Linked DNA regions of Danio rerio. The protein of the gene in region 1 interacts with the protein of each later gene in a biochemical or structural test. Links are inferred from orthologs where the notes say so. Each region holds a gene or a part of one and is shown on either strand. Other genes may lie near its edges.

The links.
Region 2: the proteins of grip1 (region 1) and carm1 form a complex in vitro, tested with the Homo sapiens proteins (2 studies listed by BioGRID). The link is inferred for Danio rerio from reciprocal best matches to the Homo sapiens genes GRIP1 and CARM1.

Annotation. Positions count from the first base shown.
Region 1 is NC_133179.1:13,608,854-13,619,238, reverse strand, and holds the end of grip1 (glutamate receptor-interacting protein 1), read left to right. Parts: intron 1-1,493; coding exon of another isoform or gene 1,494-1,532; intron 1,533-1,811; coding exon 1,812-1,923; intron 1,924-2,075; coding exon of another isoform or gene 2,076-2,120; intron 2,121-6,685; coding exon 6,686-6,919; intron 6,920-7,002; coding exon 7,003-7,149; intron 7,150-7,226; coding exon 7,227-7,490; downstream 7,491-10,385. UniProt on the Homo sapiens protein: May play a role as a localized scaffold for the assembly of a multiprotein signaling complex and as mediator of the trafficking of its binding partners at specific subcellular location in neurons.
Region 2 is NC_133178.1:33,017,840-33,027,227, forward strand, and holds the end of carm1 (histone-arginine methyltransferase CARM1), read left to right. Parts: intron 1-326; coding exon 327-439; intron 440-1,943; coding exon 1,944-2,042; intron 2,043-4,210; coding exon 4,211-4,279; exon of another isoform or gene 4,280-4,767; intron 4,768-5,370; exon of another isoform or gene 5,371-6,219; coding exon 6,220-6,359; 3' UTR 6,360-6,544; downstream 6,545-9,388. UniProt on the Homo sapiens protein: Methylates (mono- and asymmetric dimethylation) the guanidino nitrogens of arginyl residues in several proteins involved in DNA packaging, transcription regulation, pre-mRNA splicing, and mRNA stability.

The DNA.
Region 1 (10,385 bases):
TAATATAACTATAAGCAGTCTCATTCCAGCTGGTAACTATTTTATGGCTTGATGAATTAATAGCTTATTCGTATGAATTTGTACAGTGTCATTCATTGTTTGTTGTATGATGTGCCGCAATATATATATTAGGGCTGGGCGATATGGCAAAAATGCAATCTCGATAACTATTTCCCATATCGAACGATAACGATATATATTTCAACATAAGTTGTTACTGCTTCCAGATTTACATATACATACATTTACATATTTTTCGGCTGATACATTTTCAGTGGCCAAAAATTTGGTTCAGTACATCTCTAATATCAACACACTTCTAGGTGCACATTGATGGACATTTCTGCTATGTGATTGGCTCACAGATCAATATAAAGTAAAAATGTTGAGAGCTTTTTATTGTTATTTACATAAATTTTATTAAATTTGATATTATATTGTTTATAGGCCCAGCCCAAATATACAGCGGAAGTCAGAATCATTAGCCCCCCTGAATTATTATTCCCCCTGTTTATTTTTTTCCTCAATATCTGTTTAACAGAAATATTTTTTTCAGCACATTTCGAACATAATAGTTTTATTAACTCATTTCTAATAACTGATTTATTTTATCTGTGCCATGATGACAGTAAATAATATTTGACTAGATATTTTTCAAGACACTTCTATACAGCTTAAAGTGACAATTAAAGGTTTAACTAGGTTAATTAGGGTAACTAAGCAGGTTAGGGTAATTAGGCAAGTTATTGTATAATGATGGTTTGTTCTGTAGACTATCAAAAATATATAGCTTAAAGGGGCTAATAATTTTGACCTTGAAAATGGTGTTTAAAAAATTTAAAAGTGCTTTTATTCTAGCCGAAATAAAACGAATAAGACTTTCTCTTGAAGAAAAAATATTATCAGACATACTATGAAAATTTCCTTGCCCTGTTAAACATCATTTGGGAAATATTTAAAAAAGAAAAAAGAAATTCAAAGGGGGGGGGGGGCTAATAATTCTGACTTCAACTGCGTGTATTTAGCCCTATAAATGCAAAAGACTTTACATTGCTAGAGTGTGTAACAGATAAATGATTCAACATTAATTAAAATTAGTTATAGTTAGGACACTAGAAATCTGGCAATGATGGAAAACAACAAAATTTAATTCAAGTTGACCTGTATAGCACTTTTCACAATAATGATGCACACCCACATGAAAAAAGAAGGTCTTGAATGTCCCAAAAAAATATCAATAACTCCTTTTCATCCAAAAACGAAGTTACTGCCTTTTGCATTTGCATGGCAGAATGGGTGATCAGAATGGGTTATTCCTTTCAAAAATTTAAAATTTTTGTATGAATGAAAATGTACAAATTCATTCTATTCAGCCAAAAAATAAAACAGTTACCTTTTATGAGCTGGGGGTTTATAAAATATAATGCACTGTGACAGACTGAGTGATCTGGTTTGCCGTTTGTGTTATTGATTGAAGCTGATCTTCATTTCAGGGCATCCACGCTGCCCACCGGTTTAATCTCAGACAGCAGGTGAGGTTCAGTGCTGTGTGCCTGTTAACCTGCACTGCTTAACCCAAACCAATCCGGCCCTTTCACTCCATAAACCCAAAGCCCCACAACCCACCAGGACATCACCGCCCATCACAGTGTGTCCGACCTCTATGTGTCTCTCTCTTCAAAGAGCCTCACCATAGCCTGCACAGATCATTGGTCGTGCCTTGCGTTCATCACTGTGATGCCTGCCTGCTCATTGGCAACCATTCATTTGTCACGCAAAACCATTTAAATGTCCCGTTGTGTTTCCAACAGGTTCACTGTGGGACACGATGGGACGGAACCAGACCAGGAGGAGAACTTTTGGTCACAAGCGCTGGAAGACCTGGAGACGTGTGGTCAATCGGGAATCCTGCGAGAGCTTGAGGTAATTTAGGAGAACAAAGTTGTCCATTCCCCTCTCCCTGTGTTCAAACTTTAGCTCTTTTCATTCATCAATTCCCTCTATCCCATACTTTTTCCAGTTGCATGTTGCTGTACCAACCCTTGGTTTTGTGTAACAGCTCCTTCTTTTTCCAGGACAAGCCAGACAGGCTTCTGAATAAGAGAAACCTGGCCATCTTGGTACCCCTTTCCTTTCTTTGGGCTTCCTCTTTGCTTGTAGCGCTGGCACCCAAGTGCTCTCCTCGTGCTAATGGGCTCAGTGTCTCTTGCTGGGGGCCTGCTTGAAAGGGTTGGGGTGTTGGGGCTCACAGACAACCACTATTGGCATCCACTTCACATCCTAGGGGTGCATTCAAAACGCAGTACTATGTAGTAAAGGCTTAGTTCACCCAGATTCAGTCCACATTTATGCACAGTTATGTCGTTCCAAGCTCATTTATGTTTAGGTTAAGGAAAAACAGTTGGAGTAATGAAGACATTAAAGGTATAAAACAATATTACTTCACTTAAAGGGCACCTATTTTACCCCTTTTTCAAGATTTAAGATGAGTCTTTTGTGTCTCCAGAATGTGTCTGTAAAGTCTCAGCTCAAAACACCCATCAGATTATTTATTATACCTTTTAAAATATTGAAATGTTCTGCTTTGAACACAACGTAGCTGTTTTTGTTGCCTGCGCCTTTAATGCTAGTTCTCCCCATCCACCGTTCCCAAATGCCTGTAAGAGCGTGCTTCAATTTTCCTGCTGTGTCAAATAAACAGCACAGTGACAGACATGAAGGACATTTTGGAGTTGATGAGATTGATGAGTAACACACATAATGTCATTACAAAGTTCGGAACGGACAAATCGGACACACACACATCGCGCGCGTTTAACTTTGCACTGTTTTTGCATGCAAAGTGACAGGATACACATTAATATCCACTGCTGTATGTATAGCCGTTATGTTAATGTACAAAATAAACCCAATTTAACGTCCACAATTCGGGATTGAAGCATTTTCTTCTATAATTGTACTGACATACGGCTGTGCACTGCAAAAAAGAATTCTTAGAATTTTTGTCTTGTTTCTAGTCCAAATATCTCAAAATTCGTAAATCAAGAAGAATTTTCTAGACAAGCAAAACATATGGTCTTGTTTTCAGAAATAATATGCTAAAATGAAGTGAGTTTTCCTTAAAACAAGCAAAATAATCTGCCAATGGAGTGAGCAAAATATTCTTATGTCAAAAGGAAAAACAAGATTATTTAGCTTACCCCATTGGCAGAGTATTTTGCTTGTTTTAATTGAAAACTCACTTAATGTTGGCATATTATTTCTGAAAACAAGACAATATGTTTTGCTTACCAAGAAAAAGCTTCTTGGTCTAAGATATTTGGACTAAAGACTACAAAAAATATATAAGAAAAGCATTTTTTGCAGTGTGTGATAAAGTAAAGACTATAAAATTGCTGCAGTTCATTAGAAACATGCACTGTTTAAACGTTTTAAACTTGTAAAACTCATTCATGATCACATTTGATAATGATTAATGATCACAGAGAGGCGATGAGATCTTTTAATCCTTGTTGCTTTGCGCACATCCTGTCTTGTTGATATGATTATACACGTTACTACAGAGACATGTTAATACATGGCTGTCAATCAATTTGGTGGGCGGTGAAACCACATTTCTACATCACGTTGTGGTGGGCCTCAAAATAGAAGGGATTCTATTTTAATGTCAGAAAATGTAAAAAATAAAAAAATAAAAAAAAGAGAGACTTAATGTGTTTCTATCACTTAAATAAGACTGTGGACACATTATACCCACACACAGTTCTTTCCAAACAGCTTTCAAAACATGATTTTCTTCATAGGTGCCCTTTTAAAAAAATGTATACTATTATTAATTGAAATAACTGATAAAATAATTAATAGATTTAGTTTTAAGAATAACAATTCAATTGTTTTAAACTGTCTTTCCACACAAATATTTTACACACCAGCAGTAATGCTTTCAAAAAAACTTCAAGAACCTGTGAAACCTATCTCAAAAAATAAATAAATAAATAAATAAACAACATTTTCATTCATTTAGAGCTTATAGAAAACCCCATCTGAAGACTGAATGTTGCTGTCATTAAACTAATGAACAAACTCTGTCTATTTTAAGGCTATCGCATTGTTGTTTCACATGAGAAAAACAAGAGAAAAACATCTTCGCCTGTTAACAGCAAGGCCTGCTGTGAAGAAAATATGCTCTGACGGCGCAGGGACACACTGATATCAGTCTGATAAGCGACTGAGTTTCTCATTGCAGTTTTCTTCCCACTATAAAGCAGATCCACATCTAGTGGGATGCATGACTCTAACGAGAACTGAATATGCCAATAAGAATGGAAATATTGCCACACTTGGCTCTGCCTGAAAGTATCCCAGCATCTCTCATCAACCTCAGCATCTCGTATTCGCTCATGACTTGCTCAGGCGTAACGGTGAAATGCAGGTAACGGATCCAGTGCCTTTTATTGGTGCAAAGTTGGAATTGTGTTTTTACTAGCTTGATGCAAATCGAGATGAGGTTTGAGAGCTGTGAAGGACAAGATTTTCCATCTTTCACCTCATACTAAGCCATTGTAGGGCTTTTGTGAGCTTGTACAGAACACATCACAACTAAAGTCCTAAATAATATGGGTTTGGAACAACATGAGGGTCTGTAAATAATGGCAGAATTATTATTTGTGAGTGAACTATCCCTTTAAATACTAAAAAAGAAACAAAAGCGTTGATTGAACTGATAAGAATTGCTTAAAAATTGGCTTTATTCTGTCGCTGAATGCATTTTATTTTGTCTCGTACAGTAGATAAAATCACCTGTCATGTCACACAATGGTGTGCTTGACATGCTTTGTGGCCAGCCTTGAAATATTTCATGAAAGCAGATTGATTTGCTTGCCTTGACTTTATCAGGTACCTTGAGTTAAACGCCAGCCACGTGTAGCCGACGGCACAGAGAAGCTTTTAGTAGTCAACGTTAGGACAAGCTGTGAAAGCTCTTCACTTTCCATCCCACTTGTCTGCGGAAACACGATAAAATCAAAAGCCTTTTACGCTGAATGTACCCTTTGGCCCTAATTGGATTCGATGAAAGTGTTTGCCTCTGGTTTGTGTCAGTATAAATGTACTATTGAGCTCGAAACGGCCTGAAAAACATTGTACGAAAGTCACACGTTTTCATTTTCCACATGCTGAATTGATTGAATGTGGTGTCGAGGTGCATGATTTACATGTATGATCATCGGTTTAATGATTTTTATGCTGCTTACCACAAATGCATCGGCTTGGACGAGTTTCCTCTTTTGTGTGGTCACCTGTCATTAACCTGGAATCTCCATTCCGTGCGGTTTGAGTGAGAGTCACACAAACTAGCAAATGACGGTGGACGGAAGATAACGAAGGCATGTGGGCTCATGCAAAGCATGATGGAGGAGATGCAGCAAGGCTTTTTTGTTGTGAAAATTTAGTCTTGTGTAGTCGTGTCTTCAGCAAAAGGCCAGAACCAGGTTCTTTTTGAAGATCATCTTCAAATGACTCCAAGAAACATACAAAAACAATGCCCACTCTTCATAATGTTTGTGTAATCACTGCCATGGCTTGCCATGGTGGACGTCGAAGCAGTTCAATCCACTCATTAGTGTGTCAAAATGCATGTTACTAAGAGTTTGTGTATCGTTGTCCATCATCATTTTGCTTCTTGTAACATACTAAACAGGAAGCATAACAAACTGTAAATGAAATGCTTTTGAATGTTTAATGAGTGTTTATGAGTGTTTCTCTGTCAATGTAACTTCCACAAACTAAAAGTCAAATGTTTGGGGGTTTAGAAAGAAGTTTCTTACGCTTACAATGGCTAAACTGGTGTTTATTCTAAAGCATTTTCAAATGTATTTTATTCCTGTGATAGCAAAGCTGCATTTTCAGCATCGCTACTCCACTATCACATGGTCATCATCAATATTTTTGTGTAAGCCAAGATGCATTGTTTTCACGATTCTTTGATATCCACAATTCAAAAGACCACCAGTTATTTGAACTTGAACTTGTTTGTTACCTTATAAATGCCTTTACTGTCAGTTGAGCTCAATTGTATGATGCTAATCCAATGCATGGTATGGCTTAGTCAGTACAGCTCAATTTTGAGGGTGTATTTTTTATTATTAACACCTCTGTTCCTAAGAGAGACATATAAATGCTGAATTGTGACCTATAAAGACTATCACTAATCACTGAATGTCCAAATAAAATGGCCACTATCTACATCCTTTTAAATGACTGTCACATGCAACTTAACATTGCTGTGTCATTGTCAGTAGATGAGATGAAGTTCTTCTCAGGCAGCTGACGAGCAGTTTCAGCCAAAGCTGGCTAAGGCAACGCAGAATGTAAAGGCACTGCAACTATATTGATATGTCTGTAATTCAATTCACTAAACTGCAGCGGAACAGCAAGCCAAAGTAAAGTGAGCCAAACTAAAACAAGCCAAACCGAACTAAGCCAAGTCATACCAAGCAGAGGAAAAGCAGCTTTAATGTATCTTTACTGGATTAAAAGCTTCTCTTCTTTTAAAACTCCCAAACTTTTGAATGGCAGCTCACACTAGACTTCACTTATAAAGTGCATTTTATTTGTTTTTTGCTTCATATAACCAGCACTTATATCGGCTGGTACTCAGCTCCTTTCCTCGTGGTTTTCCCTCTAGGCCACCATTATGTCGGGCAGCTCTTTAAGTCTAAACCACGACCCTGCGCCCACCCGAAGCCATCTGGGCCGTCAGGCCAGCTTTCAGGAACGTGGCAGTAACAAACCACAGTACTCACAGGCCAACCGCAGCAACACGCTGCCCACTGATGTCGGCAGAAAAGCTTTCGCCATGAGGAGAATGAAGCAGGAGATCAAAGACATCATGTCACCAACCCCGGTAGAGCTTCATAAGGTGAGATTATTGATCATTTCTCGATCAATTCAGTCTATTTAAAGCCGGTTTAATGTGTGTAACTGCTCCCACCACTTTCACAGGTGAGTCTTTTGAAAGACTCGGATCTTGAGGACTTTGGGTTTAGCGTGTCCGATGGAGTCTTGGAGAAGGGGGTTTATGTTAACAATATCCGTCCAGGAGGCCCTGCTGAAATTGGAGGCCTAAAGCCATACGACAGGCTGCTACAGGTGAGCCACTGTCCGAATAAGTATGGATGACAGTACAGAAGGAAGTGTGGCTAATTTTGCCTTGTTTTGTGCCACAGATTAACCATGTACGTACTAGAGACTTTGACTGCTGCTTAGTGGTTCCCCTAATAGCGGAGTCTGGAAACAAGCTGGATCTAGTCATAAGCCGAAACCCAGTTTCTTCACAGCCCTCAGAACTGAACCCGTTGTCCAATGATGAGACAGTGAACTGGACTGACACTGGAGACCCTCTCGAGCAGCCGGTCGCAGGGCTGGAGCAGGGCCAGCACAACTCCACATTAGCAGGACTAGAAGACAGAGACCCCACCAAGACTTTATAGCAGAACTCCTCCCTGGTGCCTGCAGTGGAGCATTTCTCCTCATGGTGCTAAACTGAACCCTCCCCTCCCATAACGGCTCTCTCTAGTGGAGGAAAACACAAGGGCCTTGTCCTATAGCACACCCAGTCCCTTTCCTACAGTAAGTCAGAGCATGAACCACCACGACAGAGGTCCTTTCTTGAGACGCTGGGTGTGTTTTTACCCTGTGAAAAAGCAGCGAAGACCACACTGACCTCTTGGAAAACCAAATTGTGGGGGGAGGGAAACCTGAAACAGTGCCATCCCTGATTTTTATTGCCAATAAACACTAGTTTTAAGGAGGATTAAAAGAAGATGCATAAAAGCAACACATGAGACTTCTACTTACAATATCGGACTGGCCACTCTGTGATCGTCCGTGTTTTGAGTTTGAATGAGTGTGCGTGAGTGTCCGAAGACTTTATTTCGTAAACCTCCACAGTCTGTCAAAGTCCCACGTCCCAAACGCAACCGTCGACCCTCCTATTTTGTGATACTGAAACACAAGTGTGTATCGTGTATGTCTGTGTATTTCCTTCTATCTGATGCCAAGGTCAGAGCTGGTCCCTTTTTTCTTGATATGAGAAGAGATGCAGCCGCGTGGGGGGAAAAAATGATCAGCACAATGAATTTGGTAGCCATTTTTCAATTGTGACTGAACGTGGGTTATAGCCTAATGCATGAGACCTTTTAATGCGAATATTTTGTAGTAATTCTGTCCAAAAAAAAAAAAGAGCTTGGCTACACGGAAAACACCACATATTGGTTCTCTGCCTGCTATATCACCGCAAATATGAATTCCAATGTCACTCATAAGGAGAGGGTGGCACAAAGGCACCTTATCTTGAAATTGGACAGATGTCTATTTTTATGAACAGAGGTGGATGATTTATAAGGGATGTGTGTGATTTTGAGCGATGGCTGGTTAGCATGAGGTCGCTATCGACCATATACTGAAGCAGATTGATGGCACAGAGAAGGTCATTCGGGTTTGGAAACTCTTTGTACTTTGTTAGCTAATCGCCGTAGGTCTGTGGTCTCCAGACTCTCGCCCCAATTTTTGAGGAAATCCATCATTGGCCCAAAGGACAGAACAGCTTATTTATTCCAACATCAATCTCCTAAATGAAAACGACAGGCATTCAAGTAGGTACTTGCATACTGTTTACTCCACTGTCTGTGATAAATGAGAATATTACGATGAACAAATTCATCTCATATGCTTAAATTTGCAGTGCCCACTTATGACAAAAACACAAGCATGGGGTTGATATCCATGAGAGAAAAAAAAAAAGACTTTTGTATTCTTCCCTCCATTGTTTAAGTAGTTTTAAATCATTATGGTAATTTGTATATGGTACTGTTATGGTTTTCTATGTTTCATCTGACATTTTTTCAGACTATGTAAGCCCAAAGGGTACGCATTTGTAAAGAGAAAAAAAAGAAGTGTCAAATCATGAGAGAGTGGATTCATTCTACCATATGCGGTAGACCACATCACATTTGTAGCTCTACTTGGAGAAAAAAAATAAGACTAGCAAAGAAAATATGCCATACGAAAGCTGCTAATGGCAATGAAGACCCTCACCCACTCGTGTGAAACTGTGCTTTTGATTGAGTGACGTCACCCTCGTTGTCAGTGCTCAAAGATCCTGTCTACTCACCATTTTCCATTGGCACGTTGAGGTTCTACTACTGAACTCAACAAAAGCCCACTTGATGGAGAAAGTCTGGCGATGATGACAAGGTGTCTTTTGTTGTCTTTTTATTTTATATAAGCCTTCAGGTACGGGTTCATTCCCCAAACTCATGCACTGAGATGTGTTTCTCAACTGCGTAATTGCTATGTGTTGAATTGCGGTTTCCAAGCCGTTATTCGAGAGTTAGCTGTCACTTTCATTACAACGCTTTCCTTGACCTAAGTTTGTCACGACACTTCACTGTGTTACTGCAAATACACTCCGGTCAAGTGGAGAGGAAAAAAAGCAAACTCATTTTTATGTTCCATTTGTGGAAACGTTTAGTGAAGTCAAGCACTGCCAGTTAAAATAGTGGGTGTCCATTTTCAGTATACGATGACTTTATGATTCAATGTCACAGTTATGTCCCTGAAATATTGTATTTTTATTTCTAATGGACAGGTATTATGAGCTGTAAAGTATTTTTGTACAAAATTTAATACTTTGTTAGCATGATGTTTATCGTCTATGTATAAATTTGGGGATTCCTACAGCTGTAATCCTTTGTATGGCCGACGAACAGAGAAACAATAAAACGACATACCGAGTGGAGAGATGACACTGAAATGATCTCTTGATCCAATTTGACTTATGACATGGTTGTGGGAAAAGAGCTAATGATTCCATTTCGATCCCTATATAACAGGGGTGTCTAACTCAGTTTCTGGAGGGCTGTAGCGTTGCAGAGTTTTGTTTCAACCCTGCTTCAGCACACCTGAAACAAGCCTGAAGGACTCAATTTGATTGCACAGGTGTGTTTAATTAGAGTTTTATTTACAGATGAAAGGTTTTTCAAGACGTTTTCCTTCCATCTGAGACAAAGCAGGAAAGCAAGCAAATTCTGTGCGATTTGAATCAACATGGCAAGGTATGAATACTTTGATGGTGAGATTTCTCACAACACATCCTCTAATGCTCAGGTGCTGGTCAGCAGGCAGAAAGTAGGTGATTTTTGCAGCACTTCAAACACATTTAATGGATTGAGCATTTACACCTCGAAAGCAATTCGCTCAAAAGCATTTGACCACATTTGAAAGTGGTCAAAAGTGGTCAATCTCAAAACATTTCAGACAGCATTTACACCTTTATTTAGTATCATATACTTAATAGAAGAATCATTTGGTTCCCCATATACTTA
Region 2 (9,388 bases), on another chromosome or scaffold:
AGAACAGTGGAAAAGATCCTGCAGTTTTAATTAATATTTTGAAATAGATTTTATTTTTCTAGTTTCTGTTTTCTATGTAGCCTTTATTGAAGTTGTGGTAATTTTCAGTCCTTTTTATTTTTGTTAAAATGTCTGTATAGTTTCAATTCTATTTTTAGTTTTAGTTTACTTTCATTTTAACCTAACCAAAAACAAGGAATGTTGTCTTGTACATTTTGGGGAGGAATATGAAATATTCATATTTCATTAACTTAAAAAATAATTTGTTTTTCCATGGCTCCAAGTTAGTTGACCATAATTCCCTTATTCTGTGTTGTGTTTCACAGGTACACGGGCACAACACCTGCCCCTCCTCCAGGTTCACATTATAGCTCTCCCTCAGAGAACATGTGGAACACTGGGGGAACATACAGCATGAGCCAAGGCATGGCTGTGTCAGGTACAGCACCTGGACGCTTCTTACAAATTCTAAATGTATTCCCTAAATTCTCCTCATGGGAAAACCTGGTATAGTCATGGAATTTTGACATGGCATCTTTCAGGCCTGTAAAACATTTTGGAAAGACAAACCCGCAATGTTTTGGAAAAGTCATGGAAATTTGTTTAACAAATATGTGTATACTCGAAAACATTTTAATTGGTATTATTAGTTACATTTTTATGTATAATTGTGCGGTCGGTCTCTCAATGTGACTTTGTCTTCGTGAGCTTAAAAGAAAATTAATTATACTTAAGTCAAGGAATATGTTGAGTGCTGTGCTCAGAAACAATCGCAAACTGCAGAGGCAAGATACTGTTGAATTTGTATTCTTATAAGTCTATAATTTTTTAAAATATGATCACACAAACGGCAAGATATCAGCTATACAGTAGTTTGTATGTGGTGAATGCATGCTCTCATATTTATGTACTTGAGGACTGTCCTTATTTATAGAAACCGCCTTCTGCAAATTTATCGGAACAGAGTGTTTTATCATAAATGTTTAATATGTAACCTATTGAAGTAACTGGATTTTGGTTTCACTTTAACATAAGCTCAATTTTGCAATAGAAGATATTTGTCAGTGATATTTGTCAGGGTTTTTGCTATATACACTAACTTATGTTTTATAGGTCATGTTAAAACAAAGGGTTAACAAAATAATGTCAAATTATTAAATATTATTCTTGCATGTGGGTTGATGTGCAGCACTAGCAAGTGGCCCCATCTAGTGGAGCCCACAGTATTCTTCAGTTTTTACCCTAGATTGGTATTTTGGATTGGTACCTTACATTTCTTTTCTGAAAGTTATTATTGCTTAATTAGTGAAGTGATGCTGTTTGTTAATCATATTAATATCAACATGAACCAGTTAATCTATTTATTTAAAAATGTTATGTTAAACTATAAAATAGCTGGAGTCAGAATTGAGTTATCGTAATACCTTGTGTTTTGGTTTGCCAAGTGTGAAACTTTTATTTTCTGAAAATAGGTGCATATAGTATTTAGCCTCCTTCCAATCTTTACTTATAGTTAACACTGATTTAAGCTTTTATTATTAATGTTATGAAGGATTTGTCTTTTTTGTTATTAGTTTTATCATTTGTTATCAGTAATGTTTATCATTATTTGTAAATTGTGTGTAGAAATTACAATTAATGGTATAGCCTTGGCCAATCACATGCTCTCACATAATGCTTCCACACATCAATGTTAAATAAAATAATATATCATACATTTTACATAGACATAAAATAAATATAAATTGCATGTATTGTCACATATTTTATGAAATGCTGTGTTGAAAGTGCACATGCATTTTTACTTATTATTTACCTTGTATACAGAGACTTCGCATGACACATTAGATCATGAATATTTACCTGAAAGTAAAGGTAAAATGAACCCTGACTGTTGTGATGCGACTCAGATGTTTCTCTCTCTCTCTCTCTTTGTGTTTCAGGGATGCCTACAGCCTATGACCTCAGTACTGTCATTGGTGGCAGTGGGACAACCGTGTCCCACAACAATCTCATCCCCCTTGGTACAGACACGCATGCACGTATGGATATTTACACACACGCTCACAAATACACATAATACTTTCTAGCCCTCTAAGATCCCAACTGAAGTTTTAAAGAAATTACATGAAGTATTAAAGGGGCCACATCGTGAAGGATCCCGTTTCAATTCAGGGTTTCCACAGGTCATGACATTTCTGGAATATTATGGAGTTTTATCAGGGTATTCAAGTCATTAAAAGTCAGAGAATTTTACATATTTTTCATGTCAAGTCATGGAATATCAGGGACTTTTATTTGTCATTTAACTTCCCATTTCTGTACCATGTTTGATGTGTTGTTTCACATGGTTTTGCCTGTTGTTATGGTTAGGCTATTTTTCACTGCCATTTTATTTTTTTTACTTTGCTATCACCAATCAAATGCATTCATCATGCTGTACTTGTGGCTGTTTTTAACTGCGCAGTGCTCAACCAGTCCTTCCTGAGTTTTGTAGGGGAAATTTTTTTATTATTGTAGCATAAATGTATGGAAATTGTTTGTTTGTTTTTGCTGTGGCTGAATGTTCATTGCAATAATACAACTTGATGTGAAACACGTCACAGACCTAAGTGCAGAAGTGCAGTGCCATGCCATACCATACTGTACCGTCCCGTAGGGCTAGTCCAATAAATGCTATTTTAATCAGTCATGATCAAATTTATGTCAAAAACATTGATAGACTCTGCACTTTTTCACTCTTTATTGATCTTAGAGCCAATCACAGAGCAGAAATGTACAGCTATGGGAATCTAAAAGTGAGTTAAAATTAGAATGTACCGAATTTTTGGCCACTGAAAATTTATCAGTCAAAAATGTTCTATCACTTAGTTAGGGTGTCTGCGGGGTCTTAAAGTATTAAGTTGATAAATCAGTTATGAGAAAATTAAGGCCCTTAAAAAGGATTAAAAAGTCTTAGTCACATTTTACGAGGTCTTAAATTTTGTTCAAGCGTTGTCCAAAGTGTTTGACTCCAAAAAAGCATAAATATATTTATTTTTCTCCTAATATTAACAACGGCGTACTCGATCAATGCCATTGGTTCGTGCTGCGGTGTGTTCTAGCTCCTCCATGGGTGATGTAATCTGCGACAAACGTGGGAAGGTGATGTGACACTCTTCGCATGTAGCAAAACCATAGAGTGAAACAGTTGGTAAAATGTAAGTTTGCGTACTCTAATTGAGGAAAGATGAGTGTAAACAGTGGCTGAAGCCTGTCGCTGAAAACAACCACGTAATTTGTATTTCATGCTTTGTTCCTTCCGAGCTTATCCGTGTTCTGTTGCATGGTTGTGCTCCATTTAATTTTTTTATCTACAACTGTTAATTAAGTTAAAGGTTTGGTTCCACATTACTAGAACTTTCATTAGTTGAACTTGAACTGGCGATGAAGTATTAAAATATTTAGAGAAGGTCTTTAAAAAGTCTTAATTCAAATGAGGGTTCCTGCATATACCCTGGTAATGGACTCTCTGATTTTTGTGGCTTCAGTCATTGTTGGGGTACTCTTAAATCTGAAAGCATTATCAACTTGCGTTAATATATATCATTATCATTCAATATGGATAATAATAAGGTTAGGTTTTTGGCATATCGCCCAGCCCTAGTGTACCGTGTCTATGACGGCTCAAGAGATCACACACTAGTTGAGCACTTTCTATATGTGAATATGCTATTTAATATAAAACTGATCCATGTCCTGGTTGCCCAAATGTGGATGGACCGCTCGACACAACAGCTTCCTGTTTTTTCTGTTCATAAAAGGTCATGAAAATTCAGCTTTTTACTCAGTGAAAGTCAGGGAATTTGACATTTGGCTTTCAGTGGGAACCCTGTTAATATTTCTGTTACTTGCATACATCAAAACATTTAAAATCCATTTTAAAGCTAAGCTATAAAGCTACTTGAATGGCCCATTATGAGTTTTGTTGGTGGAAGGCATTTGATATAGTCTATGTGCAGTATTCATTGACTACTGTTGGATGATCAGAAAATGCCATTTATAATTGGACCTTGTGGAAATAAAAATAAATAAATGTGACCCCTTTAATATCCATTCTAAAAGCCTTAGTTTAAGACTCTGTTTCAGTCTCCAAGTATTAAGGTGTTGATGTAGATGACATTGTCTGTGTAAATTGAAGAGGGGTTTGTTTGTGTTCGTTCCTCTCCAGTGAACACGGGGATCGTGAACCACACTCACTCCAGAATGGGCTCTATAATGAGCACAGGAATCGTCCAGGGTGAGTGTCTATTTCTAGAAATGTACATCACTCTTTAAATGTATGATTTTCTCACCATCATGTCATATTAAACAAATAGGGAGACTTTGATCAACTACTTCATACAAATAAGCTTTCTTACAAGCAAAACAAGAAATGTTAATAAAGTCAATTGTTTATTTTGAATATGAATGATTGCATTTATGTAGAGTTTTTAACATGATTTGCTGCACATCAGCTTTTAAAGTGCTCTTATGTGCTTTATTGTAGAGCTGCACAATGTATCAATTCAGGATCGATATCACAATCTGATCATTTGCAATAGTCACATCGCGAGAATATGCAATGTTGAGTCTGAATTATAATTTATTATTTCACAAGTTTTTTTTTTTTTTTGAGGACTTTTTGAGAGTTTTAAAAGCATTCAGGCTTTAAATATTGTACTGTTTGTGCCCTTAACAAATTAACCATGATAAGTTTTATTGAGTTTTTAAATAAAAGACTATGCAGTATTATTGTACATTTGATTATTCAATTACTGTATACCTGAATACTGTTCGACTGTTTTTTACATCATAGGTCTCAAAGTCAATTCGGGGAGGGCTGCAGCTCTGCACAGTTTTGCTCCAACCCTAATCCAACACAGCTGATGCCACTAAATAAGGTGTTCTAAACCTTTTTGAGCAACTCGATTGTTCAAGTGGTGCTCGCTGCAGAGCCATTTGGGCGAGCTGAGCTCCAGCGAGGGGGAGCTTGAGCTTGAGCTCCACCTTTTTTGCACTTCTTCTACGAGTGATGTCACTGGGGGTAGGGTTAGGGGTGGGGTTGGTGTACGCATTAAAACAGCTTACAGGAGGAGGAGCGAGAGCTCATGCTCCCCCTCGCTGGAGCTCAGCTCTGCTCAAATGGCTCTGCAGCGAGCACCCTCTCCGATTGTTTGGATCAGCTGTGTTTGATTAGGGTTGGAGCAAAACTGTGCAGAGCCAGGAATTGAGTTTGTGACCTATGCTTTACATGCTGTCACATGATGAACGAACGACTCAAAAACCAGAAAACTTGAAAGGTGAACTAATCATGGCTCCTTTCAGCGCAGACTGTGTGCATTGGTTAAGCTTATATGGAACTGTCTGTGTGACGTAAACGAATGACTCAAATTTAAGCTGTCAGAAAAGGTGAGCTGACATGATCATAGACAAAAGAGCAGATAAACAAGAAATGATTATTTTCTCTATTAGGCGCATATTAAATGTTGATGGAGAAGTCCATGCGAGTGGCTACTAACAGTAGTATCTGTTGTTTTTTTGACGACTGCACACACAAAGCAGGAAAGTCACACCTTCTGGATGAGTTGTAGATTAAGAATCTTATAAAAAAGTAACTCTTTATACTGATGTTCAGTTTGTTTAAATTAGTTTGGTGTTACAAATGAATCATTTCAATCAGTGCCAGGTTATACTATAATTCATTTGTATGTAATATATTAATATAAGTACTATTCAACTTGAAGTGCTATTGACTTTATTCTGTAATGCGGAAGTGCGCTCATTTTGCAATTTGTTTTAGGACTTCCGATTCAGTCGTCTATGAGAGAAATGACTTGGAATAATAAAATGATCAAACTACTTTCTCTACAAACAAGTGTTTACATTACTTTCTTACAGCATTCTAGTTATGACTTGTTTGTAGTGTGATGAATGTTTGGGCTAGTTATAGATGAGTTTTAAAGCAACTCGTAGCCTTTTAATATTTTAGGCAAATTGAACGAAATGACTCAAGAAAAAAAAAACAAGATTTGTTCATCTCAACAAACGAGACTCAAAGGTCCAAGTCAGTAAAATGATTCAAACTTCACATCTCTATAAATCACAAAGTTTTAAGATGGCACAATGTGAGCACTTTAAGGCCTTGATCATTAAATGTTCTGAGATACAAAGGTTATAATGTTGCATTTTTCTTCTCAGGGGCAACAACTGCGCAGCAGGGTCCAAGCAGCGCCAGTCTTCATTACCCCGTCACCAACCAGTTCACCATGGGCGGCCCGGCGATCTCCATGGCATCTCCAATGGCCATCCCCAGCAACACCATGCACTACGGGAGCTAAGGCTGAGGGGACGGCCTCTGCATGTCCGATTCTCCAAACGTCCCCTTTACCCCCCCTGCAAACCAACAGCCAAATTCAGAAAACCAAAACCAGTGCACCAGTCTCTGACCATCACTTTATACTCTCTCTCTGTCTCTACATATATATATATATAGATATACATGTATACTTATATGTATATATTCTAAAATTTCTTTCACTGGCGTTTTATTCTTACATATCCGTCCCGCGGCCCTATAATGTTAGCGTGCGCAGGCATTTGGCCAGTTCAACGTGCCTGAGTTGTCACTGTTACTCACAAATCCCCCTCCTCCAAAGCCACATGCAGCGCCTGCTCCACAACCAGCCACTAGGAGGCAGCACTTGTCTGTAAGCATGCTGAAAAAGCACAAACCAGAGACTCAAGACTCAACTCAAAGGACTCGGTCAGAACGCTAACGATGGGACACTTTTGTTTTTTCTTTTCTTTTTAAATAAATGCTTTACAAATGTGCACGCCCCCTCCCACCCTTCATGAACTCCCACTTTTTTAGCTTCACAAACTCCATCATTGACTCTTAATATGAATTTGAGTTTCGAGGATCTTCATCGTACCTTCACTTCACCGTTGGCTTTTTAACGTTTCCAGCAACATGGACAGGCCGTCGCATATCAACTTCTCTCAGCATGGGCTTTCGGCGGCCATCTTGAGTTGACCTAAATGTTCGTCCAGGCCTCTCGAGAAAGAGACGGACACGTGCTGTAGATGCTCGCAGACTTCATTACGACTACTAGCGCAGTACCGCTGGATCCTGCCTGTAGACAACCATAGCGTAGATAGAGATCGTCTTTCTTTCCATTCCATTTCTGACTGTGTGTTTTAATGTAGTGCAGTTGACGTGTGTCGCTTGGTGTTCCCCGAGGTGAATTCTGAGCATGGTTTAATCGAGACTCCAACACCACGCAAATCTGACTTCATCATTTGGCAGATTCGCTGACAATTATATGGACACAAATGGTTTAGGAATACAAAGACCAGCACCAAACCCTTCACTACCAGCCAGGGAAGGAGGGTAGATGCTGGGATGGACAGTCAGCACTGGGGGGGGAGGAAGATTGATGCATGAATGATAAAATAAAAATAAAAAAACAGTTAGGTCTGTGGACACACGCACACACTGACCACAGCAGCAGGACAACTGTTTGGGAATTGCAGTATCCTAGTTTACGCCCCCGCCCCCCCCAGTAAACCCTTATCTGAACTTCTGTGTGTTGTGAGACTCGTTGAGGAAAGGAGGAGATGAAGTGACGCCTGAGCAGCTCCAGCTTTCCTCCTTTCACTCCTTCACTGGGGATTTGACCATTACCCCATCCAAGACTCTGAAGTCGTATGCACCGCTTCCACTCAATTTTTTTGGTTTTGTTTTGGGGTTCATTTGGTTTGATTTAGCAAGGATCATGAGATGGAAAAACAACCTTGTCTGGTAGTTTGTAGAGTTAACTTTTTGTTTCGTTTTTTTGTTTTCTTTCACAAAAAAAGCAACAGACAAAAAAAGGAGCATATTAAATGTTGATGGAGAAGTCCATGCGAGTGGCTACTTATAGTAGCATTTGTTCTGTTTTTTGACGACTGCACACACAAAGCAGGAAAGTCTCACCTTCTGGATGATTTATAGATGATTAAGAATATTACAAACACAGTAACGTGTAATATTGATGTTCAGTTTGTTTCTATTAGTTTGGCGTTACGAATGAATCATTTTATAAGCCATTTATTAAGGTAATGCCTGGTTATACTATTCTTCATGTGTATGTAATGTATTTATATTAGCACTGTACAACTTGAAGTGCTATTTACCTTATCCTTCAATGTGGAAATGCGATTGTTTTTGCTATTGTTTTAGAATTTCCGTTTCAGTTGCCTATGACAGAAATGACTAGGAATCGCTCGTACGGGAAGAATAAGGTGAATATTGCATTTAGAAATCAACATTTACTAAGGTAAGCTGCAAAAATATTACTTCTTAGTTTTGGATGCTCCAATCAATCTGCTGAAGATTGGTATCGGCCGATAATCACATTTAATGACTTGAACGGTGTTCGCCAATCTGGCTGATCTCATGAACCGATCGCAGGTGGTTTGTTGATGAGTTCACATGCAGAGGAGTTTTTATATCTGTGTTATATTATTTTCTGTAAAGCTGCTTCTGGCCATGGTATGTCCACACAATGGTTATGAGAGATGCCTTTAAGGGATTATGTGCAGCATTCTTAATTTATTCTCTTGGATAAGGCGAGATCTCCACTTAAGTGTCATACATGGAAGAAAAATGCATTATGAAGCTTGAAGCATCAGAAACAGTACTCCATATCGGCCAATCACAATAACAAAGGATCGGTATTCTGAATCGGCTGCAAAAATCCTGATCAGTGCATCCCTATTATTAGTTCATGTCAGCCATTTTGATAACCCATGGAACATTGCGTGCACCCACATGACATCTTTTAAGGAACATAAGAGGAAACGTAATGACTTTTACATAGTTTAGGCAGTGCAGTTTCATTTATGACTTAAGACTGTTTCTGTAGAAAGCCATTGTATCATTTTATTGTATTGGATCCAGTCATAGGGATTCCTTTTAAGGTGCTTTTTGGCATTTTTACCTGTCAACCATTAGTCACTGTCCACTTTTTACTGGATACAACAAACAAAAAACTAGATTGGTGGAAGAAACAAGTCAAGATTTCAGAACGATAATATAGAATTGTTGGGTAAGATGTCCTTCAAATACTTTTGAAAAGTAAAATTCCTTTCAAACACAAAAAAATGCTGTCATTTACTCACTTTCATTACTTAAAAAAAAAACAAAAAAAACAAGGTTTCTATTGTGAAAATGAAAAAAGAAATTGTAAAATGTCTCAAAAGTTTTCCATACATCTGTATGCACCAAAATTCTTTAAATGAAAAATACTTCTCTTTCCTATGAAATTCATAAATGAGTAGAAGGTGAGCAAATGACAGAAATTTCCCTCTTTGCTTCAATACCATG